Arabidopsis thaliana: one gene and its partners. The protein of the gene in region 3 interacts with the protein of the main gene of each other region in a pairwise test. Each region holds a gene or a part of one and is shown on either strand. Other genes may lie near its edges.

Region 1 (9,392 bases), about 24 Mb from region 3:
TGTGTCAAGGTTGCAAAAGCATGTGAAAAACAAATAAATGTATAAATTTCTGGTTAATTCCGTTTAAGAAATTTAAAAATCGATCTCAATGCTGTTTATAACACAATGAAATAATTTCTTACCACAACCAAAAAAAAAATTAGAAAAATATAAAAAATATTTGGAAAGTGAGGTTTTGATTGATTGTGAGAACAATAGAGGAGGTGACCCGTGAAGAAAGCACGCGACTATTATTTGATTTGTCACTTTGTGTTTCAATAGTTACCACTTTCGCTTTCTTGTGATTTTCTGTCTACACCCATTACGTATCACCACGTGCATCCCAATCCCCATTACCACAATCTCGACTCCAAGATTTGAGATCGTAAAAGATAACGCAAATTATAATCATTTTAGGGTGTTGTAATTATTGTTAATGATATATACCAACTGTATCATTAATTTTTCTTGAATTTCAAAGGATATGGGAGTTCTTGTTTTCTTTTTTTTTGGTTAAATGGGATTTAAGTTGTAACTTTAAAGTAGGAATAAAGTCAAAGGCTCAAAGCCATATCCATAATATGATACATCTTACCAAGACGCATGAAAATTAATGGATCCATATTTCAACGGAACAATGTTTTAAATAACCTAAACTTTCAAAGAACTTTGTAAATTTCAAAGGATATTGGGAGTTTTTTGTTTTTGGTTGGGATTTATGTTTAAAGTATTTTAAAACGCATGAAATTAGGATCCACATTGAACATCTTTTAAAATAAACCTAAACTTCCGATGAACTTTGTATATTGTAACACTCCAATCCAGCCCATTAAGGCCCAAGTACCCTAAATTATGTCGTTGTGTGTTACTTAAAGTCTCACAAGTCACTTAACGCATCTCAATCTTCAACCCTAAAACAGGCAACGAACCTCAGCCACCACTGTCCATCGTGGTTGAGTTCGACGAAGTTTGTTGTTGTGATCCGATCTGATCCTAATGAAGATGAGGAAGGAAACAGTTTCTGGTAGGGGGAGTGAGATTCAATTGTAGTTATACTTCAGCAAGTAAGGCTAGATGAGAGGTGTCGACATCACCCCTAAAGGTATACCTAGCTGCCAAACTCTTTGATTGCCATGCAAGAATCAACAATATCTATAAAAATCCAGTATGCATAATCATCTTTTGAACTGGTTCTTGTGCTAGAGTTACAAAATCCTAGTTGTACTAGTACCAAACTTTTATGACACTTTTTAGCAGCTTGTTTTCGGTCAAGCTTGAAAACATGATCCATGGAAACATAACATCTATTTTTTTTGTAAATCATAAATTTGTTCATATAAAAGAAGATTTAATTATTAATTGCTAATGACTAAGATATTAAAAATTCAATGTTGAAACGTATCGATATTTGGTATGTTATGAGATATGCATACTCACGACATTGTTAATGTTGCAACGTATCGTAATATGCATATTATGACGGGGCAAGTCCGTCTAGTCCTCTTCACTCAGCGTTAGACACATTCGTTTATTCTATGTTTTGTTTGGGAGAGAATAATGAAGTTTCAATCGCCGATCCATACAAACTATTAAGAGCCAGGAAAGCAAATCTTGGCTCCATGAGATTGGCGAGCTTCTCTGACGCACCTAGATTCTTTTGTAAGAGAGGTTTTTTTCCTCTCTCTATCTTCCATTCACATTTGTTTTAATATTGAAACCGACAGTTTGAACCGTATAGGTTATTCTTAAATATTATCTGTCAAGATTCAAGAACAAAATAGCTCGATAGTAATTTTTGATGATCTATACATTGCAAAACATGGAACAGCAATCGTTATAATAAACAAGTTATTATGAAAATGACTATAAACTTACTCACATATCTATAGTGACTAAAATACTGAAATACAAGATGGCTAAATTGTTAATGTTCGTATAATCTGCTCTTACCGTCTTACGTGCATGCAAACATAATAATAATAATAAAAACCAGACAGAAGACTGATCGTTCAACCCGCGGAGAGATCATATCACTTAATACATAAACAGAAAATAACCAAATCTAGTTTTGTTTAGACGACTTTAGAGAAATGGAAAAAGCAAATGAGAGTAAATACGACCTAGGCAAATGGGAGTACAATAGAAAAGTGAAAAGCCATATATGATATATTGAACCTCAGTATTCAAATAAGACTTATGGTAGAAACAGCTAAGATGATAGCAAGAGAAAGCCCCAACTTCTTCAATACGAAACTATCTTGAAACCGAAAACCTTGTTCGTCAACCATATTTTTCTCTTTCTTCTTCTTCCAAATTTTTCTTCTCACGACAGCATTTTCCATCATGAGTATTGTTCCCCGATTGTTACAATCTCCTCTCGTAGGCTGCCTCGAGTAACCTTCACTGCCTCTGTTTTTGTTAGAGTTACCTCGATGAACACAACGCATCAATAGAAGCATAGGAATGAAGCCAATAACATGCGCGAATTTTCTCCATTGTCCAAGAACTGTTGAGCTTACTCCGTTGATTCGCGGATTTATCTTTTTACGGACATGAACCTCCTCTTTTGATGTCATACTATGACAACACTCATTGCCATCCGTCGGATTTATATAAACTATAACGGTTTGCGATGGTACTATCTGTTGGAAGAATGTGTTGGTTACCTGACGAGTTGTGACAAACAATCCATGGCTAACCTCAACTTTTTTTACCACCTCAAAACATGAGGAACTCGTTGTCTCATGATCGTTCTTGTCCAAAAGATTCTCGTTATGTTCGTTTTCCGAAAACTCGAGTGTGAAAGCATCATCCACATCTCCATTGTTGTTGTTAACGTCCATACCATCTTCAACAACAACAAAACAAAAAAATCAAATCCAGAGATGTCAAGAAAGACAACCAAATGTAGAAATCGCGAAGTGAAAGCTACCTTGATCATGATGTTCTTGTTCTTGATTATCATTATGATATCTCCAAATATCTTCTATAGGAATTACCGTTGAGTGTTCTTCAACGAAGCTCTGAAATTTGTAGAATAAATCAAACATATACTTATATTTGATAACATATATATTAACACATAAAATATTTTGCACTTAACATTGTAAAATATCACTACCTTTTCAAGTTCCTTGCTTGATACTCCTACCCATCTCAAGTTTTCAACAAGTCTTTCTTCCTTAAAATTCACATGGTGTTCTTGCATATCTACAGCCTCCACGTTCGCCTCTAGGCATGAGACTTTTTCTCCGGAATAGTTAAAGTCTCCATGGAAGTTCCCGGAAGCAGAACCACCGTCCCATGAGTCTAGACTGTTTCGTGGCTCATGTGAGGCTTGAGCCAATGCTATAATCTTGCTCAACATTTCATCTGTATCGTTAGCTACATTGTTTCCAAAATATTCATTGTGTGTGAGACCTTCTACGTAAAGTGGTGGTACTGGTGGCAACATACGATTTTGTAGTCTTGCACACTCTAACGCTATATCAACCTATTATATGAGGAGAATTCAATGGATAAGAGATTAGTTTGAAAACAAAAGGTTACATATTCACCAATTTTAATTTTGTATTTCTTTGAGATATATAGTTTAAATTTTACCTTCGAGGGAGGATATGAGATTGTTCCATATTGAGACTGAGGTGGGAAGTTGAAGGACGTGTCATGCGACATAAACTGACTCCATTTATTCTCTATCGTTTCCATATCCGACGACGAATTATTACCGAGTTGAGTTAAGCCTCCTGTCTCAGGTGAGACTGGATACCCCGAGTTTTCGAGGTTTTCATACATTCCATCAGAATACAAACAAGTACTAGAAGTAGATTGTTCACTATTAGTCGTTCCTTTGTTCTTCTTCGTACCATGGTGTTGTTCTTCAATTTTGTTGGCTAAAGCACTCTTCTTAAATACTCGACAAAGTGCATAGGCATCCTGAAATGTTTATACATTGGTTTATATTCAAGTTAAGAATCTTAATCTTTTGATAACCTTTTTAAAAGTTAGCTTACCTGTATACCGGATTTAGAGTCACATTCTTGTTCTTCAAGACGGTACTCGTGCATGACCCAATCGGTACGAGAGCCATGAGGCGCTCTTCCTCGGTAATAAACTAATGTTTTCTTTGTTCCAACCATCCGTGAATGTGAAGTCACTTTACGATCTTTCCCGGTGGCTTTCCAGTAACCTGCTTTGGTCGCCCGGTTTGTTCTTGATCCGTTTGGATATTTCCGGTCTCGAGGACTGAAAAAGAACCATTCTAGGTCTTTACTTGGCAGCAAGGACTTCCCTGCAAGGATCATACAATTAAGATAAATTATATCCAATCTTAATTTGTACACACTACTTAAAGATTCCATAACATGTCATGAGAATCCAAAAGATTAAAAAAGAAAAGACAAATAAAGAGAACATTAGATTGTTTTATATTTAAAACAAAAAGTTGAAGGTGAATGAGAAGCTTCCAAAACCCTAAAGCACATGTGAAATTATTGTGAGTTACTTATTATCTTTTTTTTTCAATCTTCTTACCTTTTTTGACTCGGTCTTCCGAATTTGTCTCACACTAGTCACCACCGCATCTCTCGGTTTTATTACAATCCTTTTAAAGACTAAAGATAAGGGTGGGTCCATTTAAATTTTATTCTAACATAAAGTTGGGATCATAATTATTAAAGATTATTTAGTTGATAAAGCATTCACGTTCGATTCCAAGTTCGATGCGTGACTAGAGATACATAACTTGGTACGTAAAAATGTGAAAATAAAATGGGAATTATATTATGTTAAGGAAAAAGAGGGAAAGAACATCTATCTTCGAAAAAGAAAGGACGTCAAGTGTCTCTTCTCTCAAGGGTTACCCTTTCAAACATTAGTTTCACATTATGTAGTTTTCAGAAAAATGAATCTATTTTTCGTTATTCTTACTAAATTCCAAAAAAAAATGATCTTACACTAAGCATATCAATCAAATGATTATGACATATTAGAAAAGAACCAGATAGAGTCTTCTCCTTCGGTTGCTATGGTATGGTCTCATTTAAAATTTCTTTAACATGAGACACAACATGTTGATGTACTAACGATGCAGAATCATAAATTTATACCTTCGTCCATGGTAAATACTTGCGGATGACCAAAAAAAATGATAGATTTGCATCTTATGAAAAAGAAAAAAAAGAAGCAAAGAGAGAAATATACCAGGTAAATCCCAAGGTTCGCATTTGTAAAGATCAATCTCGGGTATTATCTCTAACTCAATAGTCCGACCATTAATCTTTCGCTTGAGGTAGTATATGACAAGCTCTTCGTCTGTTGGATGAAACCGGAAACCTGGAGGCATTGAAACAGGAGCCATGTCCACTGCCTTATACAAACTTCTTAGCTAGAAACAAATATGAACATTTATAGAACTTAAGAGAGAAAAAGGAGAAGAGGGAGGAGAAGGAGTGAGAATATGAAGAGACAGTTATATAAGAAAGAAGCGTAACATAAGGGTTTGAATTCGATCGATCAGTGATGAAATTGTAAGAAAGACAAAAAGAGATTAAAATTATGTAAAAGAAGCTGGAAAAAGCATTTAGGGTCGGTTGCCAATTGCAAACCCCACAACATATTTTCCACTTTAACTTTTCTTTTTACTTTAATGTGTTTATATATTTCCGTGTAAATTTGATTCTCAGTAACGTTCTTAATAAGCTTTTTCGGTATCATGTTCAATGTTGGAAAACTCACGTTCATTATAATTCATCTAAACATGTTTATTTTTGTTCATCCATGCGTAACGTGTTTATGCATATAGACTAGATATTTGTCAATTTCATTTATCAGTTTTGCTCCTAGTGAAAATATTAAAAGTAACCAATTAAAGACAATTTGATAACTATTTTTGCTTGTAAAAACGGATATATATGTATAAACCTATACTAGTTAATAACTTTTGCTCGTCATATTTTTTGGCATCGACCAACGTAAGGACGTGACATATTTGACATATTTATAAGGAATTTTCAACAACTAGAACTTAATGTAAGGTTTTAAGAAAACATAATAAGTAAACTATTTTTTACGTTGTTAATTTTTGAGATGCTTTCTCACTGTTTTCACACATTTTAAGCCACATTTCATAGTCAATTATTACGTTTTCTATAATATAGAATGAAAGTTTTATATTTGATATACATCATTTTATTTTCTATCTCGTGGTCAATGCCTCAATGGTAATATTGAACCAATCGCATTTTGAAGATAGCATGTTAGATATATTTCTACTTACATTTACATACTATGCAAGTCTTCTTCATTGCTCAAAATCACAAACATTTTTCTTAACTCGCATATATATTTCCTAGATGATCATTAAAATATTTTTATTAATCATATATTGGAATTTTTTTCCCAGTATTTTTTTTTCATTTTTTCTTAAATAAAGAAATTTTTCTGCATTACATATATTCACTAACAAACATCAAAATGAATTAAAATACATTCGAAGAAGTAAACTCAAAAGTTAGTTTCATATTTCAGCATCATACTTGTTATAGACCAAAACCTGCTTCTCTTCCCACCATCTTTGTGCTTCCTTCTCTGAAAACCTCTTCCGACTGCAACCAAAGTTAGAAACCAATCATATAAATACTTAAGCGTACTTCAAACTATATAAACACTTAAAAGCACATTAACATTTTTTTACCTAAACCGTACGCGTTTAAGCGTCTTCTGACCGCAAGGCAAGGCCGTGAAAGTTATATATACACCGGGCTCGTATTGCTCAACTTGTTCTGCTGACGAGTCTTGTGTTTCGTTTTGGAGATACCCTGTTCTTGTGATGGCTGGCGATGCATCTACTAATAGCTTAATGTTGCTGTCACGGTTCGAGGATTTCGTGACACATTTCTCTACATGTTGTTTGGTTTCGTGTTGTGAACGAGCTGTGGTGATTGGTGTGAGGTATGGAATGGACATTGAGTCATCAAAGATTGGTGAGACTTGAGAAGGATTGCATGCAATGCCGGTCTTCAGAGGATTACTCGGTTTCTCTTTATTCGCTTGGAGCTGCAAGCAAAGATACCGTGAAAATGTCGGTCACATAACAAACCAAAAACAGAAAGATTAAAAAAAACTATGTATCTTTTACCTTCGATGCCAAGGCTTTTATTATCTCTTTAGCAGCTTTCGATTTCTCTGCTTCTTCTTTAGCAACTTCCCATGTCTTGTCGAGCTCTTGTTGACATTCTTCCATCTTCTCATTGCCAAGTTCACACTGCCTCTGGAGATTTTTTATCTACATGTTCATAAAAATGTATCTTTAGTGTCTAATGTGTTACTATTGTTACAGGTAAGAAAACAAAAAGAAGTAGTTTAATTACCACGGCTTTTAGCCTTTCGATTTCTTCGGTTAAGATCTTATTCGACTCAGACGAGGTTGAAATCTTCGTTGAAGATGTTCGCCTTGCTGAGACTGAAAGATTCAAAGAAGAACTTGTCGAAATCTTATCGAAACGAAACAGAGAAGGACCAGAGACTTGTCCCCATCGAGGCTGTCCATCCGAAGATCGATTAGCTTGTGGAAGATTCTGCATCTCATTCTCTGATTGTTTTTCTGTCAAATCCTCAGATACTCTTCGTGTAACCATCTGCATCCTCGGAGTGTGATTATCCATCTTAACATTTCTTGAAAACTCTGTTATACTCCATAGATGATCAAAGCAAGAATCGCAAACCCGAGAAAGCTTGCTTTTATTCGGTGCTAACGAAGCATTTACCGCTTTCTTGCTACTACATGCATTGCAAAACAATAGACCACAGTTGTAACAGTTATGCTTTCTCCTTGTGAATCCAAAAGCTGATTTGCAAGAACTACAAGCGGTTTGATCATTCAAAGAGATCTCTTTGTGTAAACAGATCGCAGCCGTCAAATTCAACCCGCAAGCTATACTTTCTACCAACCTATCACCTAAAGGCTCAACAAGAACAGGAGAGTTTCTATCTCTAACGTCACCTAAACCAAGTTGTCCATTCATGCCTTTTCCCCAAGTATAAACATTTCCAAATGAAGTTAGAACAGCTACATGATGTGAACCTGAAGCAATATCCTTGACAAATTGTCGTGTTAGATTGCCTAAAACAACATTTACCGACTTATCCTTTGCCCGCGGACATCCTAACTGTCCGTGGATCGAGCTTCCCATTGTATAAACCGTTCCTGAAATGCTTAAAGCAACAGTTAAAGTCCATCCACAAGAGACTTTTATGAAATCATGATCAATGAGTTCAGTAACACAAGTTGGCACAAGCTTTCTCTTGCTATCAGCATGTCCTAACCGTCCTTTATCGCCATCTCCCCAAGTAAACAGCTTTCCACAACTCTTGGCGTTGTAGAATTTCCGGTCGTTCGCGGTTTCCACTATAGCAGCCGTGTGCCACGGTCCACAAGAGACAGATATGACCTTCATGCGTCTCAAAGACTCAACTTCTTTCGGCTTTGTAACACTCTCAAGACTCCCATGTCCAAGAACTCCAAAAGTTCCACTACCATAAGTGAAAAGCTGACCAGAACTAGTCACAATTGCCGTGTGCCACGCGCCACAAGCAACACTTAAAACAGTCAAAGATCCGCCAAGAACATCGGATATCTTCCGAGTCAAGAACTGGCTTCCTGACTGTTCAATGGTTCCACCATCAATTCCCCATAAATACAGCTCACCAGATTCCGTAACAGCACACGTTTGATGATCACTACAAGCCACTGATCGAACTGCAACATCCTCAAGAGACTCAACGCGTTTCGGATGGTCGATATCGATGTTAACTTTAAGTCCAAGCTTCCCACTATTTCCATTCCCCCAACAAAACACTTCACCTTGTCTTGTAACCAACGCAGCATGTTTTGCACCTAGAGATATACTCTGTACATCAAACATCGTAGCAGATTCCAAAAGCTTAGGAGACAACGCATCGTTCTGATTCTTCGATCCATCGATAAGACCCGTTATAGCTCCCCATATCATAATGTCCTTAAGGACATTGGATCTTGTAACCGGCTGTGTTATGATAGAAAGAGGAGGAGAAGCAGCAAATCTTTGTGATGAAAACCTGCAAAGTTCTGAACCTGTACTACGATCACAATCCGAGTTCCTGAAATCATAATCTGTTTCATAGTAAGAAGAAACTGGACCCAAGGCATCAGATTCAGCAAAACTATCTGAAGAACATGACAACCCGTTCGACAAACACCGCTCTTCAAGTAACGTCGATGGACTTCCACATAAGCTACGTATCTTCAAGAACATAACAAGATACATCAAGAAATCGAAAACAATATATAAATGGTTAAAGAAAGTGTCTTTTAGTTACCTGAGTGACGTCAGGAGTCTCTTCAAGAAGTCCAAGATTCTGTTTCCTTCGCATAA
Region 2 (7,757 bases), on a different chromosome or scaffold from region 3:
TTCTCTCCCTGTTGCTTAAATAAAAAAAGCAAAGTGCGTGCGTTTCTCTCTTCTTTTGCTTTGGCCCTTAAATGAATTATGGCAAGAGAAGGTTATGAATTGAGATACATGGGGGCTTTCTTAATATACATTTTCTAAATATATGAAAAATGTAATGTATAGATGACATTGTGTAGCTTCTTTTTCTTCCATGCTTTTTAAGGACTTGTCTTTGGTGCCCATGCAAAGAGGAGTTTTTATGTTGGGGTTCGACGTCAAAAGAGTTTAGGATTTCATAACCCAAAAAATAAACTAAAGTGTAGGATAATACACATGGAATCAATCAAACATAACAAGGTCAAATATATGACGTGAAGAAGTAAGAGAATTGAAGAAAACCAATAAAAGCATATGGAACCGACTAGCTACTACCAAATCCTAAACCAACAAAAGCTCACATGAACTAATTCTTTGAATGTTCTTCATATTGTCCACATTTTTAACCTAATCTACACATCATTAGGTTATCCGTGAATAAACAATAGGAATTTTGAAAAATATGATACTGCTTTTCAAAACTACTATTAAGAGAAAAGCTTTTCAAAAAAATCACTTTATAGTCTGTATATAAGACTTTACAAACCTTGTAAAACCATATAAAAACTTATAATAATCTAATTACATTTTGACGTAATATCTTTGAGTTCCTTTAAATATAATAAGGAACACTGAAATTGATATAACATAGGATTAAGATAAAACGTTTCATGTTGAATTTGGTATTAGTGTAGAAGAAAGCGATGTCACATATTGGAACATAGCTAGTGCCAGTTTGCACAGGTACTATTAAATCTTCGGAGATTTTGCATAGATTCGTAAATTGAATAGATAAAAAACAAAAGGAGAGTCGTACCATCACAAAACTCATCAATTTTTAATTAGAATTTTTTTCTCTTTGTTACTATTTTATTGCATTGTAGGCGATGATATGTGAGTAAAAGGTTATCTCTCGTATCATGCGGATAGAGACTTCTATGAATATCTATTTCGTAGACGTAACCGTACGTTAATTAGTCTATTGCCAGGTTGATTTATTTGTATTCTTCTTAGTAGAGAAAATCAATACTTCACTAAACAAAATGGAAATAATATGGTAGAAGGACATAAAACTGTTTTGATAATAGAGAAGAAAACATATAGAGATGCAACATATTTGAATAACAAATATAATGAGATTAAGCTAAATAAACGAAGTGATTAATAGAGATCTATAACAGTTATGAGATCAACCTAACTTACTTCATATATCTTACAATCGTCACATAATTCACTAGACTTATCGGCCAGAAAACGCCGTAAAATGGAAGTTGTTTCTTTGCATTTGTAAGTAATGTTTTGGGATATAGGATGGTAGAAGAAAACTTTGAGTCAATTTCTTAGAGTGAAGTAATGTACCTAATCTATCTCGTAATTCAAGATTCATTTTCATATCATCCTTTCGTAATTAGTCTCGTGCACTTATTCTTTTCTTTAAATGTGATCTTGAATATTCAAAACACAGTACAAATAATAGATCAGCCGCTAATTAAATGCGTTAGATAAAGAATAAAGGTTTTGTGCAAGTACCCTGATTTGAAAAGAAGCAAAAGAGAGATATTGGTGAAGAAAATATGATGCCAATAAATGTTTATTCCTCATCCGGATGAAACGTGCATAATCTCTATCATCTTCGGGTTATGATAATTAATTACAAGCTCATGCGGACCTTTGACATGTAAATTATGTCCAAAAGAACAATCATAATGTTTTCTTGGTTCCTAATTAGCATGTTTTCTTTCTGCTCTAAACTTGATCTCAAAAAGAAAATCATAATAGAAAGTCCATAGATCGTATTCGTACGTATACAATTGATAATTAATTAATCGTAGATTCGCTTAATGTTTTTGTTAAGTACGTGTCATAATAATAATTTATAAATAGAAGAAAGGAATTATAATAGTCTAAATAATTAAGGACATGGATTGTGATAAATTTTGATGGTCAAGTACTCGTTTTTTCGATTATTACTATAAGAGTACCCGATTATATCAAAACAAAATGGAGATTTATGATTTTTTGTCTTCTATGCATACCCAACGGTATCATGGGATTGGACTTCACACCTTATTCACAATTTTTTTTCTTTTGTCCTTTTCTGAAAAGGAAATTTCCTATGTCGATCCAAAGTGGGAAATGGACAAAAGTTTTTATTTTCTCTAACAAAAATGGACAAAAGTTTGTAGTATTATGGTATCCACATAGAGATTATTATTGAGAAGATCACGCGGCATTACATATTTAGTTCTAAATGTACAGTATTTTGGATAGGGTAATATATCTCTCTACTATCTAGTCTTTAATTATATCTGACTCGTTAAACTGTGCCTATATATTGATCTATATATTAGCTGTGGCAAAGGTTCTGCAATCTGATAAAGTAAAATTGATTGATAAATGATAAATATTGCTCTTTTGGTGTACATTAACTTTTTTGATATGTGTATTATAGGTCCGACCCTCTTATAAAGTAAAACAAGCCATAGCTTTAGGGCATTTCTAAATATAGTTCGTTGTTAGGGCGACAATATTGAATGCTTACGTGAGTGTAGTTGATGGTCAATACAAATACATCAATTGGTTTTAGAGAACATTTTCCTCGAGTTCGACTGCCCACGTTGGTCGTTCTTTCGTTCATTTAATGGGTTTAGTTGATTACTTCTTTTTATAGTACATTTATTGTTTTCACGTTATGCGCTATTATATTCTTATAAAAAAAGTCTTAATTAAATGATATATTGATCAGTATTTGTCTTGTTTAGTTTTACAACATGGTTGTATTACAAATTATGTAGTATTTATAATCTTATATTTCAAAACATAATTTATTCTCTAAATAACATAAAACTATGGAGAATACAAATTACAACAAAATTTAAAATTATAAGTTCTTACATAAAGTAATTTGAAACAAATTTTCTAAAATATCATGATACCCATAGAGTAATAAAACTAAACAAAATAAATAGACAAATATTCCATGAGTTTGCATTTGAAAAAAAAAAAAAAAGAGAACATACGTATCTAAGAATGATGAAAGATCATTAGTCACCTAATTTTTGAAATTCAACATTATTTACTTAAATTTTCATTTTTACTCTTCCATGGTTACTCAATGCAATTACTTAAATATACAATCTCGATATTATATATAAACATATCATCTAACATAAATTACCCGCCGAAATATGGTAGTAATTTCTTCTCAAATAAAAAGGTATCTTCAATATACAAGTGGTCCCTAAAATACTCTTTCTTCTGTTTCTCCTTGTTTCTTTGAATAGTGAATACAAAAGCAATTCCTTATATAAACCACTTCAAGTCCTTAATCTTCTCTCACAAAGAAAAAACACTATCTCTATCGACAAAGATAAGAGAACTCAGAAGCTTCTACTCTTAAAATGGCAACTTTCTCTTATTTCCAAAACTACCCTCATTCCCTTCTTGATCCTCTTCTCTTCCCTACACCTCACTCCTCCATTAATCTCACTAGTTTCATCGATCAAAACCATCTCTATCCACTACCAAACATTTCCACAGTTGAAGACATTTCCTTTCTTGAATATAATGTTGACAAAACTGAAAACTCTGGTTCAGAGAAACTGGCCAACACAACCAAAACAGCAACCACCGGTTCTTCTTCCTGCGACCAGCTCAGCCACGGACCATCAGCCATCACCAACACCGGAAAAACCCGTGGGAGGAAGGCCAGAAACAGTAATAACTCCAAGGTATGTTAAACCAACTTGTAATGTATCATCTATCATTTATGTGATGGGGTTGGGATAGTCAAAAACATAAATGTTGGTGTGGTTTGGTGAATTAGGAAGGAGTAGAGGGAAGAAAAAGCAAAAAACAGAAGAGAGGAAGCAAAGAAGAGCCTCCAACAGATTACATTCACGTTCGAGCTAGAAGAGGCCAAGCTACTGATAGCCACAGCCTTGCTGAGAGGGTATTTTAGTCATTTCTCTTAACATTTTAATTTTTCTTCATTAATCATGTTTTCATAAAATACATTTTGATTAATATTTGATTAAACTTATATATATATATATGTAAAGGTGAGAAGGGAAAAGATAAGTGAGCGGATGAGGACTCTGCAAAACCTTGTTCCGGGCTGTGATAAGGTCAGCTAGAGTAGAGACAATTTTATTTAGGAGAATTGATAATGGTTTAATTTTATAATGTTTCTAGAAAATGTTATTAATTGATTAAATGTGACTTGAAAACGAATAGGTAACAGGGAAGGCCCTCATGTTGGATGAGATTATAAATTATGTCCAGACCTTGCAGACTCAAGTTGAGGTGCATTTTCTTAATTATTTTGTTTTTTCTTGTAACATTTTATGTTAAAACTAATGTTTCTAATTCATAACTTTTTTTTCTGTTTCATTAGTTTCTCTCAATGAAGCTAACTTCTATAAGTCCGGTGGTCTATGACTTTGGCTCCGACCTTGATGGCCTCATACTTCAATCTGAGGTATTTCATTTACACAATGTCTCTTAATCCGGTTACCGATAAAACCAAGTCATGTATCCCGAAAAGCCGGTTATGGATCTTAAGTAGATATTTTCTTGATGGACAGATGGGTTCTCCAGAAGTAGGAACGTCTTTTACCAATGCAATGCCAACAACTACTCCTATCTTTCCTTCACTATTGGATAATTCTGTAGTTCCCACACATGCACAAGTTCAGGTTTTTCATTTTTTTCTATAAGTGATTATTTCAGATAATAATTATAATAAGGAGAATGAAGATAGATAAGAATCAATTATTGGAAGATTAATAGATAGTGATGTGTTGCTTAATTTAGGAAGAGGGAGAAGAAAGAGAGAACTTTGTAGACAGAAGTGGGTTCAACAACAACAACTTCTGTTCTTTCCCTTGATAAAATTACATGTCGACACAAACACAAAAGCCTGCTTTCGTGAGTTTCTTCTGGTCTTGTCTCTTCAACTACCTAATTATTATCATTACAATTATTTTTAACATTTCTCATATAGAAATTGTTAAAAATCTTGATGTGGGTTCGTAATTATTGCTATCGTTTATTGGATGTAGGTTGATTTAATCTCCTCCCATTTGCACGGAGGGAATAAAATCTACGTAAACCAGGTTTTGTAAAAGTGGATGTACTTATTTGTTCCGTTTATATAGTTTGAAGAAATAAAGTATTTTAGAGACTTAAAAAGCTCATTTTCTCTATTTGTCCCGAGAGTTTCAACATAATCATTACATAAAATCAATGGATAAATTCATACTAAAAGAGAATGGTATATGAGGCAGAGGCAAATTCGATGGAGGAAAGAAAGACATATAAACTAAGAAGACCTATCAGCTTAATCATTGTTTTTTTTAATATAATTGAATTTTGATGTATCCACTCATTAATTTTATAAGTTCTTGTATTTTCACCACTTCTGTCTTTCTGATTTCTTGCACCAAAGTTTCCTTTTTCCTCCAATCTTTTTAAATGTAAACTGTTATCCACACACTCATGTTATATTTCCTATATATATAAAAATGTTCGAGGGATAACTACTTATGCATGTATATAAATCTAAATGATTCGTTTCCTGTCAATTTAGTTGGCTACAAAATTATGTCAGAAGAAAAGATTAGATTTCCCTTCCTGAGAACACTTTAATGTACCTGTTGAATAGTTTGGTCATGCTTTTCTGCTCTCACTTGTCACACATTGATAACTCCCATTCCTCTGTATCTGTCCTTTCACAATACATATGTTATAAGTTTTATTTTAGTTTAGAGTATGTCTAATATATATATACCAAAATTCTTGAAAGAGATATTTGATACTGTTGTATTTGTAAATATGATTTGTTGGTTGTCTAACATTTTCATGAGGTGGTAATTAACGATTCCTTGAGTTATTCAATCCTAAATTGCAGGATTTATTTGAATACACCTAAATAAATTATATGCAAGAGCCTTATGTATATTATCGTTATTCAGTTACATACATATTAATAACCTCTTTTATTAACGAACCTAGAATAGAGATTTTTTTGTATGATTTTCATTTCTTGATGTATATGTCAGGATGTATATGATTTGTGAGATTACTCTTCACAATTCAACAATTTGAGATTTTAGTTAAATAAGTAAAATTTAATTGATATCATCTCTTCTAAGATTTGTTATTGGACTATGGTTCAAAATTTTCACTTTTTCCCTTTTTTATTATTATAAATATGATATGTTGCTAGATGAATTGGGTCATCATTTTCTTGCAATTGTTTCGTCATGAATACGATTTTTTTTTTTTTTTTTAATCGAAAATGCATATGAATTTGGTCCCAAGTTATTATACGGCAAATTGATCAATCATAAAATACAATAACAAAGGAAATGCTAAGTTTCTCGTGGCACATAATTGTATCTGCTAACGGTTTCATCCTGAATCAATGGACAACACATTTCGTAAATCTTATGCACATCATTTCACCTCATATGTTTATTTCAAAGTATACCTCTTATAACTTTAACTGTGCGTTTCGATTCTTCGCATCATCAAACCTATCAAAATCAAACCCTAAATATCTGATGACACGTTTTATGCGAGAACGATTGGTAAGTTAACCGAAGGGTCCACGATTCAATTTGATAACACGCCTAGGTGAGAAAAAATGTTGTACATTATTACACAACTAATACAGCCAAAAAAAAAAAAAAAGCAACAATTCGAAGGCATGATTAAATGAGCAGTCCGGCCGTTAGTCGTCCAGAGATTTTCATGTCTATGTCTAGTCCCATCTCTTCTATTACACTCTTTTTCTTTGTTTGTTTTCATGTACCTAACTTCATTTCCACGTGTACATGAATCATTCTTCCATTACAAAAACTATAAAGATAGTAGCTAGCCAAGATGGCTGTTGAAATTGCCATTCTTCTATCCCTCTCAAAGTAGTGAATGGTAAGTGAACAAGTAAACTCTATAGGACGATGAAAATGTAAATACGTATAGATATATAATGACGTAGTAGTTCTAGAAAATACAACCTTATTAACCAAAATAACATCATCAAAAGTTTTGAAGTTGAAGAAACACTGATACTAGGTCATATTTAAGCTTAAAATTATTATTTTCTATCAGTATACTAGTCGACCAACTATTGTTACTGGTTTAGAAGCAGGTTCAGTCTTTATCAGTTGGGTTATCAAGAAAGTAGACCAAGCACACACTTTAGAAAGCCCATTAACAACAATGAGCAACAAAGACTAATATTTCAGTTTACTTATAGGCCCATAAGAATTGAGTACCAAACAAACCTTAACTAGCTAGTAGCTACTCTTATATATTTTACCGATAGTCTTTGACTCTTTGTTATAACAACGGATCGATTTTAACAAATATTCTATGGAAATGGTAAACGATTCATTAAAAACTTGATTTCGTAAACCTAATTTTAACACCAAAATTTCACTGGTTTTATATGGAGAACATTCGCTGCGTTTGCAGTAGGCTAGTTGCCGTACACACACTGAATCGATAACAAGATGAATGTTGTATGATTGTATCAAGCATCGTCGGTGTAATCATCTTCTTCTTTTTCGTTTTTTTTTTTCATTTTAGATCAATCCATTTTCGATGATGGGCACATTTGTTTTTTATTCCAAGTTATTTCGATTCTTAATTATGCATTAGCCTTCTTCGTTTTA
Region 3 (6,936 bases):
GTGTGATTAACCCTTGTCTTTCAATCTTTTTAAGGCTCGGGATCATCTTTTGGCGGTCAATATTGCTCTGCAGGGGTATGATTCTGGTTTTCTAACTCCTGATCATATGTGTCAAATGTGATATTATCAGCTAGTGACAATTATTTTGATAGAGTAGAAGATATGTAGAACATAGTTATGTGTACTGTGAAGGACTCTGGGTTATATGTTATATATAAAGAGTTTTCCATGGATTATTTAGCTCCTCCATGTGATTTGTGTGGTTTCCCTGAACTTTTATCCTCCTTTGTTGAAGGGTACTAGCACTTATCTTGGAGCAGCTCCTATTGTTGAATGCCTGGAGAAGTACCAACCAAACGTGATAATTACTTCAAGAGTGGCTGATGCCGCCTTATTTTTAGCACCAATGGTGAGGCGTTCTTGTCGTTTCCTGTTTCGTGATTAAATCTGATCATTCTTGTTGTGTCATCAGGTCTATGAACTAGGTTGGAATTGGAATGACTTGGAGCTGCTAGCTCAGGGAACTCTCGCTGGCCACCTTCTGGAGTGCGGTTGCCAGCTCACTGGTGGATACTTCATGCATCCAGGTGCGTTTTACGCTTATTGGCTCAGGGAAGATATGATGAACTACTGTTTTCCATTATCAGTATGGTCATTTCGTTCCTCAATGTTCTTTAGGTGATCAGTATAGAGACATGGCTTTCCCTCTTCTCCAGGATTTGTCACTTCCTTATGCAGAGATTGGCTATGATGGTAAAGTATGTGTATCAAAGGTTGAAGGTAGTGGTGGAATTTTAAATACCAGTACTTGCGCCGAGCAACTTCTGTATGAAATTGCTGACCCTAGTGCCTACATTACACCTGATGTGGTAAGTTAGCTGTACAAAATCTAGAAGAAATAACTGTAAAAACGGCGGAAATATTTGATTTGAAAACCTTCTTTGCAGGTAATCGATATTCGAGGTGTTTCTTTCCTTCCCCTGTCAGACTGCAAAGTACAATGCAGTGGAGCAAAACCATCTTCTAACACTTCTGTGCCTGAGAAACTCTTGCGGTTAATTCCAAAGGTTGTTATCCATAGAAAATGCTGGTGGTATTTGATTGATGCTAAAGAGCAACCTATGTTTGGTTCTATAATTCGTATTTTCTTTGCAGGAGTGTGGTTGGAAAGGGTGGGGAGAGATATCTTATGGAGGAAATGGTTCTATACAACGTGCTAAAGCTTCAGAGTTTCTGGTGCGCCTATGATTAATATGTCTATGATGTAGTAGCATTTTTTGGCCCCATCGTCGCTTGAAATGACTCCTTATGGTGCCTTAAATTGGAGTTCATTTCTTATCAAGTGTATGTACGTATTTTACTTGTGTTTTTTCCTTCTTTCTTTCAGGTTCGATCTTGGATGGAAGAAACCATTCCTGGTGTTAACCATTGTATTCTTTCTTATGTGATTGGGGTTGATAGCTTGAAGGCGACAAGCAACGGCACTGAATCTTGGCAGTCATGTGGAGATATTAGATTACGTATGGATGGTCTTTTTAAACTGAAGGAACATGCGGTCCAGTTAACAAAAGAGTTTACTGCTCTATATACAAACGGACCAGCTGGTGGTGGTGGAATTAGGTAATTTCTTCACGTTGATGTTCGCTCCATATATCAATCCAATGCTAATTGTAGCTTTACAGTAGTACCAAATCCTGTTGAGTTGAGACATCTTATGACTAGGGACAATGTATTGAAACTAGTTATTTGTTATGAGATTCGGGGTGGTCTTTTTGGTTTGACAAAACTGCTTGTAAATTATATGCAGTACCGGACACAAGATGGAAATTGTTCTTGAAAAGCGTTTGGTAGGTCGTCTCCATCAAAAAATTTAAACTAATATAGCCTTGCATCAATCAATTTTACGGATTCTGATGTTATATGTTTGGTTATCCAGGTCAGCCGTGAATCTGTAATGTGGAAAACTGGACTTCAGCACACCAACACTTCAGAGCCAGAGACCTCTGAACATCATTCTCCAGAGAAAATGCCAAAGGTTAGCTCGAGAGTTCTTACTAAACTAATTGTGATGACTGATAGATAATGGAAATAAACATGACCTGAATTCAAATTCCTTGGTGAATCAATCCTAGTGTGTTCGAACATCAAACTAACTCTGATGACTGATAGATATGTTTTACTATTTGAAAGCTGAAAATGTGAAAGAACTCTAACATGTGCATTTGTATTAACACCTTGTTATTACTTCCATTTGTAGTTACCTAAGGAAAATCCAAAGAACCTTACAATGAGAGGCTATCAATCTGGATTTCATCACTCTCCTGCTCCATCTGGCCAAAAGATCCCACTCTACTCTGTTGCACATAGCCGGGCTGGCGATAAAGGAAACGACATAAACTTCTCAATAATCCCGCATTATTCCCCAGATGTCGAGCGTCTGAAACTCATAATTACTCCTCAATGGGTAAAGCATGTGATGTCAGTTCTGTTATCAACCTCTTCGTTTCTGGAATTGGATGCAAAACCAATGGATGAAAATGTGTCAGTAGAGATATATGACGTTGAAGGCATTCATGCTATGAATGTTGTCGTACGGAACATATTAGATGGTGGAGTCAACTGTTCCAGGAGGATCGACCGACACGGAAAGACAATCTCAGATCTCATCTTGTGTCAACAAGTTGTGTTGTAAGACTACTTTAACTTTGCATATCAGATTTTTCTATTCAAATTCTGTGGTAATATGTTAATAAAAAGGGAGACTTGAACTACACTATAGTTCTAAAAGATAATAGAAAAAGAAGGAATCGACTTAGTGGTGCTTCACTTTCTTTTACTTCTATACATTAAAATTACTTTAATTTACAACTGGATATCTTGATAGATACGCATACAGATAAGTATTAAAAGCATTGTTTTGATTGAGAGAGAATGATATTATATATTTGTGTAATGTTAGGTTGTTGTTATATTCTTTTGCAGGATCTGACTGACATGGGTTGCACCACCTCAGAGACAGTTGGCTTAAAGTAACAATCCCTTATTGGATTGAAATTGTCAGAAACCACAACCCTTCTTTTGCTCAACTCCAATCACTTTGCCACCCAATTTTATCTCATTCATTTTGCAAAAAAGATCAAAGAGAGAGAGAGAGAGAGAGAGAAAGAAAAAAAGGAAAAAACCTTCCTCCGTTACAACCTCACAATTGCAACAAAGTTTCATATAAAAGAGGACAGAAATTTCGCAGGTTCCTCCGTTGTCTGAGGTAAAGGTTTCCTTCTTTAACTAATTCCTCAGATGACCTCTTGATTTGTTGGAAAAAAAATTAAAAAATCTGTTTCATACAGGATCTTGGAGAAGGAAGGAAACAACAACAACCAAAAAAAAACCAAAAAAAAAAAAGATAAAACAAAAAAAATGTCTTTCACAGGAACTCTCGACAAATGCAATGTTTGTGATAAGACAGTCTATGTGGTGGACATGTTGTCCATTGAAGGAATGCCTTACCACAAGTCTTGCTTCAGGTGTACCCATTGCAAAGGAACCCTTCAGGTGCACTCATTACTCATTTTCTTGTTAGATCTTCTATGATCATATTATATCAACAATTTATCTATGTGTTGATGGCAGATGAGCAACTATTCCTCCATGGACGGAGTTTTGTACTGCAAGACTCATTTTGAGCAACTCTTCAAGGAATCTGGCAATTTCAGCAAAAACTTTCAACCAGGTTCGTATTATAAAATCTCTGACATCGAATCTCTCTATCTTTCAAATCATCATGATCATAACAAGTCTCTTTCTTTTCTCAGGAAAAACTGAGAAGCCAGAGCTGGTAGGTTCATCATTACATGTCCTTGTATATGATTAGCGTGTCAATATTTCATTTTCTTTCTTTTATGATCGACTAATAGGATCTGTGTACTGATTTAAACATTACAGACTAGGACTCCCAGCAAGATATCTTCCATCTTCTGTGGAACACAAGACAAGTGTGCCGCTTGCGAAAAAACTGTTTACCCTCTTGAAAAGGTTAGTGGTATACGCATCTGCAAATGTTCTCATGGCCTAAAATACCAACGAACTAGTCTCGTAGAGAAATTTATTTGCTCTAGAATTTGTTTTTTGTTTTTTCATTTCCGTAGAATTTTTCTGTTCGGATAAAATCATTACTAGATCAAATGGAAATAAAATTTTGATTTTGGTTTGGTTTAGTATACTTTTGGTTCGATTTGAGAACGTGATGTTGGTTGGTCCAAGCAAATGTGGAATCAATTTTGGCTTGGTTCTAATCGGGTTATTTGGTAACAGATACAAATGGAAGGAGAATGCTTCCACAAGACATGTTTCCGGTGCGCTCACGGTGGGTGTACGCTGACTCACTCCTCCTACGCCTCCTTAGATAGCGTTCTCTATTGCCGACATCACTTTAACCAACTCTTCATGGAGAAAGGAAACTACGCTCACGTCCTCCAAGCCGCCAATCACCGTCGCACAGCCTCAGGCAACACTCTTCCACCGGAACCTACCGAAGACGTCGCCGTGGAGGCCAAGGAAGAGAATGGCGTTTCAGAGTCTTGAATATCTCTTACATGAGTGTTTTTGAGTGAATGATTGAATGAATGTTGTTGCGGGGGAAAGATTTGATTTCATTTGTAATGAGTTGTTTCCATATGAAGACATGATTTTTTTTGTTATTTTTTTAATTCATTCGTTATACATTTATTATTACACACGAAAAAAAGGCAAGAATTGATGTTTTTTCACTCTATGTGTGCTGCTTATGATATGCTTTCCGATGGTGATGATGATATTCGATGTAATATCTGTTCGGTTCAAAGATACCAAACTACTTATATACCGGATCAAACCAAGTGGTTATCGGGTGATGTGAATCATTCATTATTTCGTTAGGTGAGAGAGGGTGTTTTCGTAAAAGTATCTAAAAACGGCCTTAGCAATGATGTCTGGTTGGCGAGAAACTCAAAAAGGAGGAGACAGAGAAAGTTGTTTGACTGGGAAAATTTGAAGAGACGAGCCAAAATTATCTGTTTGAAACGAACGGAATTGAAGACGAGAGCCACTCCTTTCCGTTTCCACCTTTCTTCCATTCTTACTCAACTTTCCATGATTGGTTAGCCTCTCTATCTGTCCGTGGCTTGTCGTTGATTTTTTTTATCTTGGTCGTCTGAATGTGTGGAATTTCGTTTTGCTTCACAGGAGTTGTATATAAGGTTCGAGGAATAAAGTAAGGCTACTTTTTTTATTTGATTTCCGATATGGAGTATGCGTCTACTTTTCAAAGGCCGATTCTATTCCATGGTGGAGATGGTGCGAGTTACTGCTTTCCAAATCGATTGATAAGTCCTAAAGGAATCAGCATTACATCTGGGGATTCTAAAGTGCATTCGTGTTTTCGATTGAGGAGAAATGTAGCACAAAGTGGTACATTGAATTTGATGAATGCGTGTTTCTCTGGAAGGTTTTATAGTGGTCATTTGCATTCTACAAAATCAATACTTGGCAATGGCCACCAAGCCAAAAGAATCCCTTTTGGATTTAGGTTACGTTGTCAGGGTCATGAATCTCTGGGTAATGCCGATAGTAATGATCATCGGATCGGGGAATCTTCCGAAAGTAGTGATGAAACTGAAGCTACAGATTTGAAAGATGCGAGAGTGGAAAACGACACTGATAGTTTGGAGGAACTCAAGGAGTTACTACACAAGGCAATTAAAGAATTGGAAGTTGCTAGGCTCAATAGTACCATGTTTGAGGAAAAGGCTCAGAGAATCTCAGAAAGAGCCATAGCACTCAAGGATGAAGCTGCTACTGCTTGGCTTGACGTAAACAAAACCCTTGATGTCATTCGAGATACTGTTTATGAGGAGGCTCTTGCTAAAGAAGCTGTTCAAACGGCTACTATGGCCCTGTCTCTGGCTGAAGCTAGGCTTCAGGTTATAGTGGAATCACTTGAAGCTGGTGCAGGGAATGATATTCCACATGTGTCTGAAGAGACTGAGGAAACAATAGATGTTAATGATAAAGAAGAAGCTCTTTTAGCTGCCAAGGATGATATTAAAGAATGCCAAGTTAATTTAGATAATTGTGAGTCCCAACTGAGTGCTTTGCTGAGCAAAAAAGACGAGCTGCAAAAGGAAGTGGACAAGTTGAATGAGTTCGCTGAGACAATACAGATCAGTTCGTTGAAAGCCGAGGAGGATGTTACCAATATTATGAAATTGGCTGAACAAGCTGTAGCATTTGAGCTTGAGGCTACTCAACGCGTTAATGATGCAGAGATTGCTTTACAGAGAGCAGAGAAGTCTCTCTCCATTTCTCAGACCCCAGAGGAAACTCAGGGCCAACTCTCGGATGAAGAAACTTCTCAGGAGGATGCGATGGTACTTTCAGGTAACGTTGAAGATGTTACCCATCAGGTTGAAAAAGAATCACCTAAAGATGGAGATCTACCAGTGGTACAGATCACAGCTGAACTTGTGCCTGATATAGTTGGTCAGAGGAATAAAAAACTAACTCAGCCTTATGAGTCAAGCGATCATGAGAATGGAAAGCCAAGTGTAGAGTCTTCTAAAGTGGTTGAAGCAGATTCTGAAAAGCCAAAGATTAATGTTCAGACAAAAAAACAGGAAACTCAAAAAGATCTGCCAAAGGAGGGTTCCTCTCTTAATTCTCCCAAGGCATCGTTTAATAAATCCTCCCGTTTCTTTTCTGCATCTTTCTTCTCTTCTAATCCAGATGGGACCGCGACAGTGTTTGGTAGTCTGGTTGGTTCTGTCAAACAGCAATGGCCCAAACTAGTTCTTGGGCTTGCTCTTCTTGGAGCAGGGTCAGTTTGAAAATTTACTCTTCTTTGCTTCGAGTTTTGAAGAATCATTTTTGTACAGAAAGTTCTCTTTTTGTTGATACGAGCTT
Region 4 (7,961 bases), on a different chromosome or scaffold from region 3:
CCAGAGTCTGAAGAAAACACCATCTTTAGATTTCCTGGACCAATTTCAGTCGTATTGTTCATCGGACTAAGCATCACTGAAGAGTGTTTGTGATTGTTGCTTCCTATATCATGAATGATAAAAAAAAAATGAATTATGAGGGAAAGGCAACTGTTTAACTTTCTATGGATAGCATGAGCCTGTGTCTGCATACCTTGTGCGGATGCTTTAGATATGAAGAATGTGTTCCAACCAAGTGGTGGCACCTTTGCTTTAAACACGAGCCAATACTTTGGACGCTGCAGGGAAGATATTCCTAAATAAGCTTTTGTGTAGAAACTTCTGAGGTTGCTCGTGACATTATCCATGGGGATGTATTGAGCATCAAGGGTGTTTCCAGATGAATCTTCCACACTTAGACCTGCATCATTGACCTGTTACATACCCTAACTCTTTAGTAATACATTAAAGAATTTGATCTCAAAGGAGCAAGTAAACAGAGGCATGAAATATAACCGGAATCCTGATGATTTCTGTACGGTTCCATCCAAGGGAGTTATACGCCACCAGAATCTGAAGATCAAACACTGAGATAGTTGGAGAATCTGAGCTATATCATAATGATTGATGAGAGATGTGATGGAATTACCAAGCTCTTCTGGCCTGGAAGGGTTTCTTCTGTCGATGGGCAATAGCTGATATTCATCAACGAGCACTGCTGATTTGATTCCAAGAAAGAATATATAAACCAGGTGATTACTATATAGAGACACACAATAATCGTTTACTCTAAATAGAGGAAAGAAATAACTCCCACACTAGTCATCACCATGAAAGGGATTCTTCAATCACATTTCTGTAAAAAAAATGAAATCCAAAATGAGTTTCTTGGAGATTTAACCTGGCTGAATGCTATTGCAGGCTTTGTGCAGCCACCTTTTGGTGCTTTGTTCATTAGGCATGCCAGCGCAGAATTCACCACAGCTTCTGCCTACGGAATAATTAGATGATTACTGATATAAGAAAAAAGACAAAAAAGAAAAGAGTTTTCATATATAGTATCTTACCTCAGAAGCACCAAGAGCAAGGCGTTTCATGTAATCATTTGTTACATGCTGCTTGGCAGTTCCAGTGACAGCATCATGGTGCTGCGCTATCCCTAAAGCATCCCCAAGACTGTAAGTGTTTGGACCTCCAGAGTTCTTGCCCACCAGAAATTCAAGTTGCCTTGCAGCCTGTTTTGGAAAAAAAACAGACAAATGCAAGGCCATGTAAATTCATTTTGAATTTCACTAAGAAAATGGGAAATCGGACTCCGTAAGATGCAGTTTGATACCATGTAGTATCCGCTAAGAGCCCGAACATATCGTTTAAGAGCAGGACGGCTGGTGAAGTAGCCAGTCCAGTAAGCGTATGCCCGATCCGCATATCTGCAGAGAGTAGGGGGAAATTATTGACTATTGAGAAAATCAAGTTGTTGAACAAAAGGAATATGTAAATTTATTTGGTGACAGTACTAAAGGCACTCACGGGAAAAAGTCATGAGTCTTGAGAGGCCAAGTAACATTGGCAACATTCTTGGCATCAACATAGAGAGATGGTGTGGAGTACAAGGCGTTCACACGGCCATCCTGTTGAATGGAATTATTGGTGATGAGAATCTAGTCTCCAAAGACAGCGAGATTGATATTGAGCAATCACAGCAAGCAAGAGATATGAAAACCTTGTTAACATAATGGATAAGTCTGTCCATCTGTCTGAACCAAGACTCGGCGAACTGGTACTGAAAATCATCGCCCATTGTCCACATCACATGGTTCCCTCGACTCACATTAGCCTATGTCCACATTGACTACTTTCAGAATTAATCCAAGATTACACACACACTTGAAAAAAAAAAAAATACTACTCAAGACTTACATAAACAAGAGAAGCATTGACGAAATCATTAACCGCCTCCTTAATGTTATAGCCATCGAAACGAGGGTTGTCCTGCAAAATGACGAGTGAACCGAATTCCCCTAAACCAAAAACCAAACGGGAGAAAGAAGAAGCGAACCTGGAGGGGTACGTAATCGTCGGTGACTTCATAGTGAAAGCCAGTGGGAGGGCCGTAATGAACAAAGAAGATATTGGTGAATATCTGAGAAGAAGAATCCAGTGTTTTTGATCCTCTCCAGATGACTTCAAGTGATTTCTCGGCCTTTCGCTTTTCTCTGTCTTGGTAATCGATTCTCGCGAAATGCACAGAATCCAACCCTAACTGCACCCCCACCAAATTAAAACACACTCATAAGGAAATAAAGAAATAAATAGATTAGAAGGGACCTCTGCTCCAAGGAGGTAAGCTTGAACAGAGGAATGACCAAAGGGATCGATTTGCCAAGCAGCACGTGGAGTTGTGTTGAACTGTTGCTTTATAAACCGATGCCCCTTTGTGGTTTGGTCTATCATATCTATGTAATGGCACGTTGCTTCATCATTCATAGCCCATCCTCCATTTCTGCACATTGATTGTGTGAATTGTATCAACGCTAGGTAGCCAAAATGATAAAATTAAGGTCGTGACCTACTTACACAAACTCTAGTTGCCCGGATTTCACTAGTCTCCTCACTTGCTCTTGTCTCTCGGGGCTTTGTTCTTCCCACCAACGCGTAAAGAAGGCCTTTTTCATGTACATTGATGTTCACATAAGAGAAGAAAACATATATTATGGTTTTATGAACAAAACCATTATTAATGTTTTACCATTTCCGCAAACACAAACTTTCTATTGGGATCACGAAGTAGAGAATCCACCACCGAGTCTAGGACGTTCCTCACGCAAGCGTTCTGAAACTCACAATTCATTTGGGATATATAGTACGTTAGACTCGTCTCTACATACATACATATATATGATTCATCATTCATCTGTAGATAACATACCTGGATTCTGTTGTTAGATCCTACGTAGTACTGATCAACAGTTTTCAACCAGCCGACATCGTCATGCGAATGCGGAACAAGATGAACATTTAGTTTCCCCGGAACCACTTTAGCTTCGGTTCCATACTTCACGTATCCCCCGCCTTTGACGCTCTCAACCAACGACAACAGAAGAAGAAAAACAATAACACAAAGTGATCCTTTCAATAAAGACATACCCGGTTTCTCCATTTTCCGATGGCAGAGTTTTCAGATGTTTTTCTTTCTTACAGGGTGTGGAGGAAACTTATAACAAGAAAATGGAGAGAGAGCAAAACAAGGGTCATAACAAAAGACCAAATCCTTATCGTTTGTTTTTGCTCAGATCCGTCGGTCTTTGTTAGAGTCTCTCTATTGTTTTACTGTGACTAGATTGTCATTTCACCATATGTAATAATTAATTAGGTTCTACAATAATCTTATTTTCCTACAAATTTAATTAAAATCTTGACCCTAAAATAGTACTTTATTAAATCTTTTTTTCTTCTACTTTGATGTCAACATTAAAATTGAAGTTGATCTGTTTTGAGTTTTGACAATAGTCATTTACCTTTTCTTTAATTTTATTTAACAAATAGTTTTGGGAAAAAATCTCCCTTTCTTTGATAATACACAAATCAATCAATATAGAGATAATTAAACCACGTCTTTACAGAGAATAGAAGCAAATCTTTGAGCTAGTAACATTTTAGTATAAAAATCTCAACAACAAGTCATTTACATCATTGCAACTGTTTTGTTCTCTTCATTTGACTTGGGGGTTGTTTGCTTGCAAAGGAGGCTTTGTTTGTACGTCGTCGTTTTTATTCCGTATATAAAATATAAATTAACGAACTAATCTTTAAAGCCTCTGAGACGAGTAGAAGGTTCTCTCTGGTGAAGAAACCAATGCATTTCGGCGACAGCCTGAAACTGAAAAGCCATCGATCGACCGAGAAAGCGAAAAGAGAGAGAGATGAGACTCGTCGTCTCAAGCTGTCTACTAGTTGCAGCTCCTTTTCTCTCCTCTCTGTTACGAGTCTCACTCGCCACTGTTGTCCTCAATTCCATCTCCGCCTCTTTTGCCGATCTCCCAGCCAAATTTGGTCAATTTCTCCCCCTCTTCCTTTTTCCTTATCCGAAACAATTTCTCGAACAATCTGGTTAAAAAGAAGTTGATTTTGATTCTCAGACGGCTCCGTGACCAAAAACGGAATCTGTGGAGCTCTATACGTCGCAGATCCTCTCGACGGTTGCTCACCGCTTCTCCACGCCGCCGCATCCAACTGGACGCAACACAGAACTACTAAGTTCGCTTTGATAATCAGAGGCGAATGTTCTTTTGAGGATAAGCTGCTCAATGCCCAGAACTCAGGTTTTCAAGCTGTGATTGTCTATGACAACATTGACAACGAAGATCTCATCGTCAGTAAGCCTTTTGCCTCCCACCCAAGTTTAAAATTCCATCTTTTCTTCTCCTGATGAGCTAGGGTTGAGCTGAATTTCATTGGAGTTATTTAATTTAGTCAACGCCCCCATAAGTTTGGAGATTGACCAACATCTGTTTTGCACAGTGAAGGTGAACCCTCAGGACATTACAGTTGATGCAGTCTTCGTTTCAAATGTCGCCGGTGAGATTTTGAGAAAGTACGCGAGAGGCCGAGATGGTGAATGCTGCCTTAATCCGCCAGACAGAGGGAGCGCTTGGACTGTGTTGGCCATCTCCTTCTTCTCTCTCCTTCTTATAGTCACTTTCCTGTTGATTGCCTTCTTTGCACCCAGACACTGGACCCAATGGCGAGGGAGGCACACCAGGACCATCAGGTTAGATGCAAAGCTCGTCCACACACTCCCCTGCTTCACCTTCACTGATTCTGCTCACCACAAGGCCGGGGAAACATGTGCTATATGTCTCGAGGATTACAGATTTGGAGAAAGCCTCAGACTTCTCCCCTGCCAACATGGTACTTACTCCTATTCTTCTGTGGAAATAAACTGGCAACTTGCCACCCTTAATGTGTTCATTGAGGTCTTGGAAATGTATATTTATGAGACACAGATCTTCCCTTCACAGGATTGAAACATGTGCTTACTATTCTAGGAAGACTTTGATAGGTTTCTCTTAGATTCTAACTTTATAAAATAGATTTCTTTCTAGCATAAATTCCTCTGTTTTAGGGTTGAAGGTACAATATATTCCGTTTCTGTCAATTCCAGTTTGATAGGTAAGCACCGAATGCGAACTTTTTGGTATTACTCATTGCTTCGAATGATATGATGGGTCGAATATGTACATCAGAAGAATAAATTAAAGATTTGACCTTTTTTAGTTTATGTAAGTGGGGGTAATTCATAGCAGTTGGTTGATTTGAAGCTCTTATGCAGCTTTTCACTTGAATTGCATCGACTCTTGGTTGACAAAATGGGGTACATCTTGCCCTGTGTGCAAGCATGACATAAGAACCGAGACTATGTCTTCTGAGGTGATCCTGTTAGACTGAAATGTATAAATCCTTTCAGTAGTTATTTTGTTGTTTTTGCGTTGGGTTCAATACACTGTTTGTGTTGTTTTGTTGCAGGTACATAAACGAGAGAGTCCGAGAACAGATACAAGTACGAGTAGATTTGCCTTTGCCCAATCCAGTCAAAGCCGTTAGAGTTATTATCGGCTTAGCAGCTGAACACTCATATCAGTGCTCGGTTACCTGGATCAGGTCCAGGTTTGCATCTTATATTGAATGGTTAATCATGGTGGGATAAGTTTAGGTAAAGGGACCGGATCTGCCATACTGGTCGTGCTTTGCTGGATTCCCAGATCAAAAAGATATGAGTTGCTTTGCCTCTTTTTCTTTGCATGTGTACATTTACATACGCTCTGAGTCATGTGTACATTTGATCATTGTGTGTGTGTGTGTGTTATAGATTGAAAAAATGTGTGTGATAGTACAGATATGCAAACAAATTGATAGAAAACAAATGTTGGTCTAATCAGATTTTCTCTCTCCGATCCAGGCAAATCTCTAATGTTATCTTGTTGATAATTTCTTTGCCTAAAGTTTGTATAATATGAATATTGAATCTGATTCCCTTACATGGGGGAATGGAATCCATTGAACGTGGCTTTGATTTTGTCTTGTCTGTAGTAATAATAAGAAAAGAACACGTCATCCTCATCTCTACCTAACGACTCATCCAATACGATGACTCGTTCATGGGTTTGTTAGTTGCGCAATTCCATCACCAAAACTTTCTATTACATACTCAACTTCTTTTGATTACTAAATTCAGCCAACATTTCCTTCTCATCTCTAATCAGTGAACACGTTTTCTATGCAGGCTTTGGGGCCTATCTTACCATAGCTGTCTAAGAAGACTATTATCTTATATTCTTTATTGTAGATTTCATTTACTTGCGTATGGAATTGGAAACAAATTTCTAATTGTTGAATCATATACCATTATTTTTATATTGGCCATGCATGTGTATAAGTGGAAGATAGAACAATATTAAAACAATATTATTGTGTTTGGTCCTATTTATTACTCTCTGCTCTCTTCCTGAAGCTTCTTCATCTTTTTGTTTGACAAGAAGAGGTAGAGAAGAAGATGTCTCAATCAATCTCCTCCAGCACAAAGGCAGAAGAAGTTGTTAGTGTAGATGTGAGCCAAGCCAAGACTCTCCTCCAGTCTGGGCATCAATATCTTGACGTTAGGTGAGCTTCTGATCTATTCTATCATATCACCATGCATGTACCAGCTGCTGCGGTTGTTAATGAAAAATCCTTGCACATGGCAGGACTCAGGACGAGTTTAGGAGAGGCCATTGTGAGGCAGCTAAGATCGTCAACATTCCCTACATGCTCAACACACCTCAAGGTAAATCAAATATCAATCACCTTTAATTAGAGATATCAACCAGTACATGAGTTAAAGCCTTGTGATCTCTACTCTTAGGTAGAGTGAAGAATCAAGAGTTCTTGGAGCAAGTATCTTCTCTTCTAAACCCAGCTGATGATATCCTTGTGGTAACTCTTTTCTTCCTCATCACACCCACAAGAATTAAAATCTGCCGGTGAAAACGATGATAAAATCTGGAAAATGATATTGATACAAACAGGGTTGTCAGAGTGGAGCCAGATCCTTAAAAGCCACAACTGAACTTGTTGCTGCAGTAAGTGTATAATAGTCCCTAGTTTACATACATAATTTACTCCTACTTGTGTGTTTAATCTCAAAGAATCAATTCATATATACATAAAAAAATAGGGTTACAAGAAAGTGAGAAACGTGGGAGGTGGCTACTTGGCTTGGGTGGATCACAGCTTTCCCATCAACACGGAGGAGGAGGAGCCATCTGCTAATTAATAATCTTAAGATTCTCTTCTTTTCTTAATCAAATAATATAACTGCCTGTGTGATGTAGTAATCATTTTCAATTTAAAATTCCAGTTTCTTGTAATCAAAACTTTCGTGTACCAAATTCAATAAAAGCTGTGTTTCTCTATAAGTGAAAACCAAAAAAAAAAAGATGAACAAGTAAAAGTGTAAAAACTAAGTAACAAGCCTTTGTTTGTTTCATCGGTCAAAACGTTTGGGCTTTTTGAGTATACATACAAAAAGGCTTTGGGCTTCAGCCTAAGCCCTTATCTTCTCTGTTCTCGCCCGGCGATTCTCCGACTTAATTAATTTTCCGACCGAACACTTCTCTCTCTCTCTCTCTCGGGTTTCTCATGGAAGAAACGTCCAAGCTACAGTTACCGGAGAGTTTCCTTAGCTTTCTAGAGGCGAATGGCCTTGATCCTTCAATCTATACTCACGGAGATTCAATTCCACGTTATGTAAGGTAACTTGAGACCCCTCCTTTGCTTTTCTCAAAATTTCTGAATTTGGCATTGAAACCGGAGAGGTCCGTTTGAAGGTTGAAACCTGGATTCGAGGATGCTTTCGAAGAGATTGAATCCGAAATTAACTGTAAACTGGAGAAGGTGAATTGGTTACCAGGATTTTACTCCATCCCTCCAGATGTTCATATAGC

The links.
Region 1: the proteins of PLIM2b (region 3) and NAC028 interact in a two-hybrid assay, tested with the Arabidopsis thaliana proteins (one large-scale study listed by BioGRID).
Region 2: the proteins of PLIM2b (region 3) and AT5G50915 interact in a two-hybrid assay, tested with the Arabidopsis thaliana proteins (one large-scale study listed by BioGRID).
Region 4: the proteins of PLIM2b (region 3) and RMR1 interact in a two-hybrid assay, tested with the Arabidopsis thaliana proteins (one large-scale study listed by BioGRID).

The regions. Positions count from the first base shown.
Region 1 is NC_003070.9:24,518,771-24,528,162, forward strand, and holds NAC028 (NAC domain containing protein 28), read right to left. Parts: upstream 5,491-9,392; 5' UTR 5,339-5,490; coding exon 5,182-5,338; intron 4,271-5,181; coding exon 3,993-4,270; intron 3,916-3,992; coding exon 3,583-3,915; intron 3,473-3,582; coding exon 3,101-3,472; intron 3,003-3,100; coding exon 2,912-3,002; intron 2,828-2,911; coding exon 2,163-2,827; 3' UTR 1,898-2,162; downstream 1-1,897. Other genes in the region: AT1G65920 (Regulator of chromosome condensation (RCC1) family with FYVE zinc finger domain-containing protein), read right to left, coding at 6,497-6,584, 6,674-7,035, 7,118-7,264, 7,350-9,260, 9,337-9,392.
Region 2 is NC_003076.8:20,707,972-20,715,728, reverse strand, and holds AT5G50915 (basic helix-loop-helix (bHLH) DNA-binding superfamily protein), read left to right. Parts: upstream 1-3,264; 5' UTR 3,265-3,476; coding exon 3,477-3,806; intron 3,807-3,901; coding exon 3,902-4,027; intron 4,028-4,136; coding exon 4,137-4,202; intron 4,203-4,311; coding exon 4,312-4,380; intron 4,381-4,471; coding exon 4,472-4,555; intron 4,556-4,661; coding exon 4,662-4,772; coding exon of another isoform or gene 4,773-4,793; exon of another isoform or gene 4,794-4,890; coding exon 4,891-4,965; 3' UTR 4,966-5,004; exon of another isoform or gene 5,005-5,138; 3' UTR 5,139-5,626; downstream 5,627-7,757. Other genes in the region: CLPC1 (CLPC homologue 1), read left to right, coding at 1-19; AT5G50910 (uncharacterized protein), read left to right, coding at 6,447-6,668, 7,192-7,320.
Region 3 is NC_003070.9:279,502-286,437, forward strand, and holds PLIM2b (GATA type zinc finger transcription factor family protein), read left to right. Parts: upstream 1-3,259; 5' UTR 3,260-3,417; coding exon 3,418-3,552; intron 3,553-3,630; coding exon 3,631-3,730; intron 3,731-3,812; coding exon 3,813-3,835; intron 3,836-3,942; coding exon 3,943-4,032; intron 4,033-4,311; coding exon 4,312-4,581; 3' UTR 4,582-4,744; downstream 4,745-6,936. Other genes in the region: AT1G01770 (propionyl-CoA carboxylase), read left to right, coding at 35-75, 296-409, 473-587, 679-869, 948-1,067, 1,156-1,236, 1,388-1,620, 1,808-1,847 and 3 more; KEA1 (K+ efflux antiporter 1), read left to right, coding at 5,280-6,850. UniProt on the Arabidopsis thaliana protein: Binds to actin filaments and promotes cross-linking into thick bundles. Has an actin-stabilizing activity. The actin regulatory activities are inhibited by pH > 6.8 but are [Ca(2+)] independent.
Region 4 is NC_003076.8:26,441,296-26,449,256, forward strand, and holds RMR1 (receptor homology region transmembrane domain ring H2 motif protein 1), read left to right. Parts: upstream 1-3,790; 5' UTR 3,791-3,902; coding exon 3,903-4,032; intron 4,033-4,118; coding exon 4,119-4,355; intron 4,356-4,500; coding exon 4,501-4,890; intron 4,891-5,311; coding exon 5,312-5,409; coding exon of another isoform or gene 5,410-5,427; exon of another isoform or gene 5,428-5,505; coding exon 5,506-5,583; 3' UTR 5,584-6,138; downstream 6,139-7,961. Other genes in the region: AT5G66150 (Glycosyl hydrolase family 38 protein), read right to left, coding at 1-103, 194-413, 496-552, 629-697, 881-970, 1,047-1,214, 1,316-1,409, 1,510-1,610 and 7 more; STR18 (sulfurtransferase 18), read left to right, coding at 6,533-6,639, 6,723-6,802, 6,881-6,951, 7,044-7,103, 7,193-7,291; AT5G66180 (S-adenosyl-L-methionine-dependent methyltransferases superfamily protein), read left to right, coding at 7,657-7,769, 7,845-7,961. UniProt on the Arabidopsis thaliana protein: Involved in the trafficking of vacuolar proteins. Functions probably as a sorting receptor for protein trafficking to the protein storage vacuole (PSV) by binding the C-terminal vacuolar sorting determinant (VSD) of vacuolar-sorted proteins.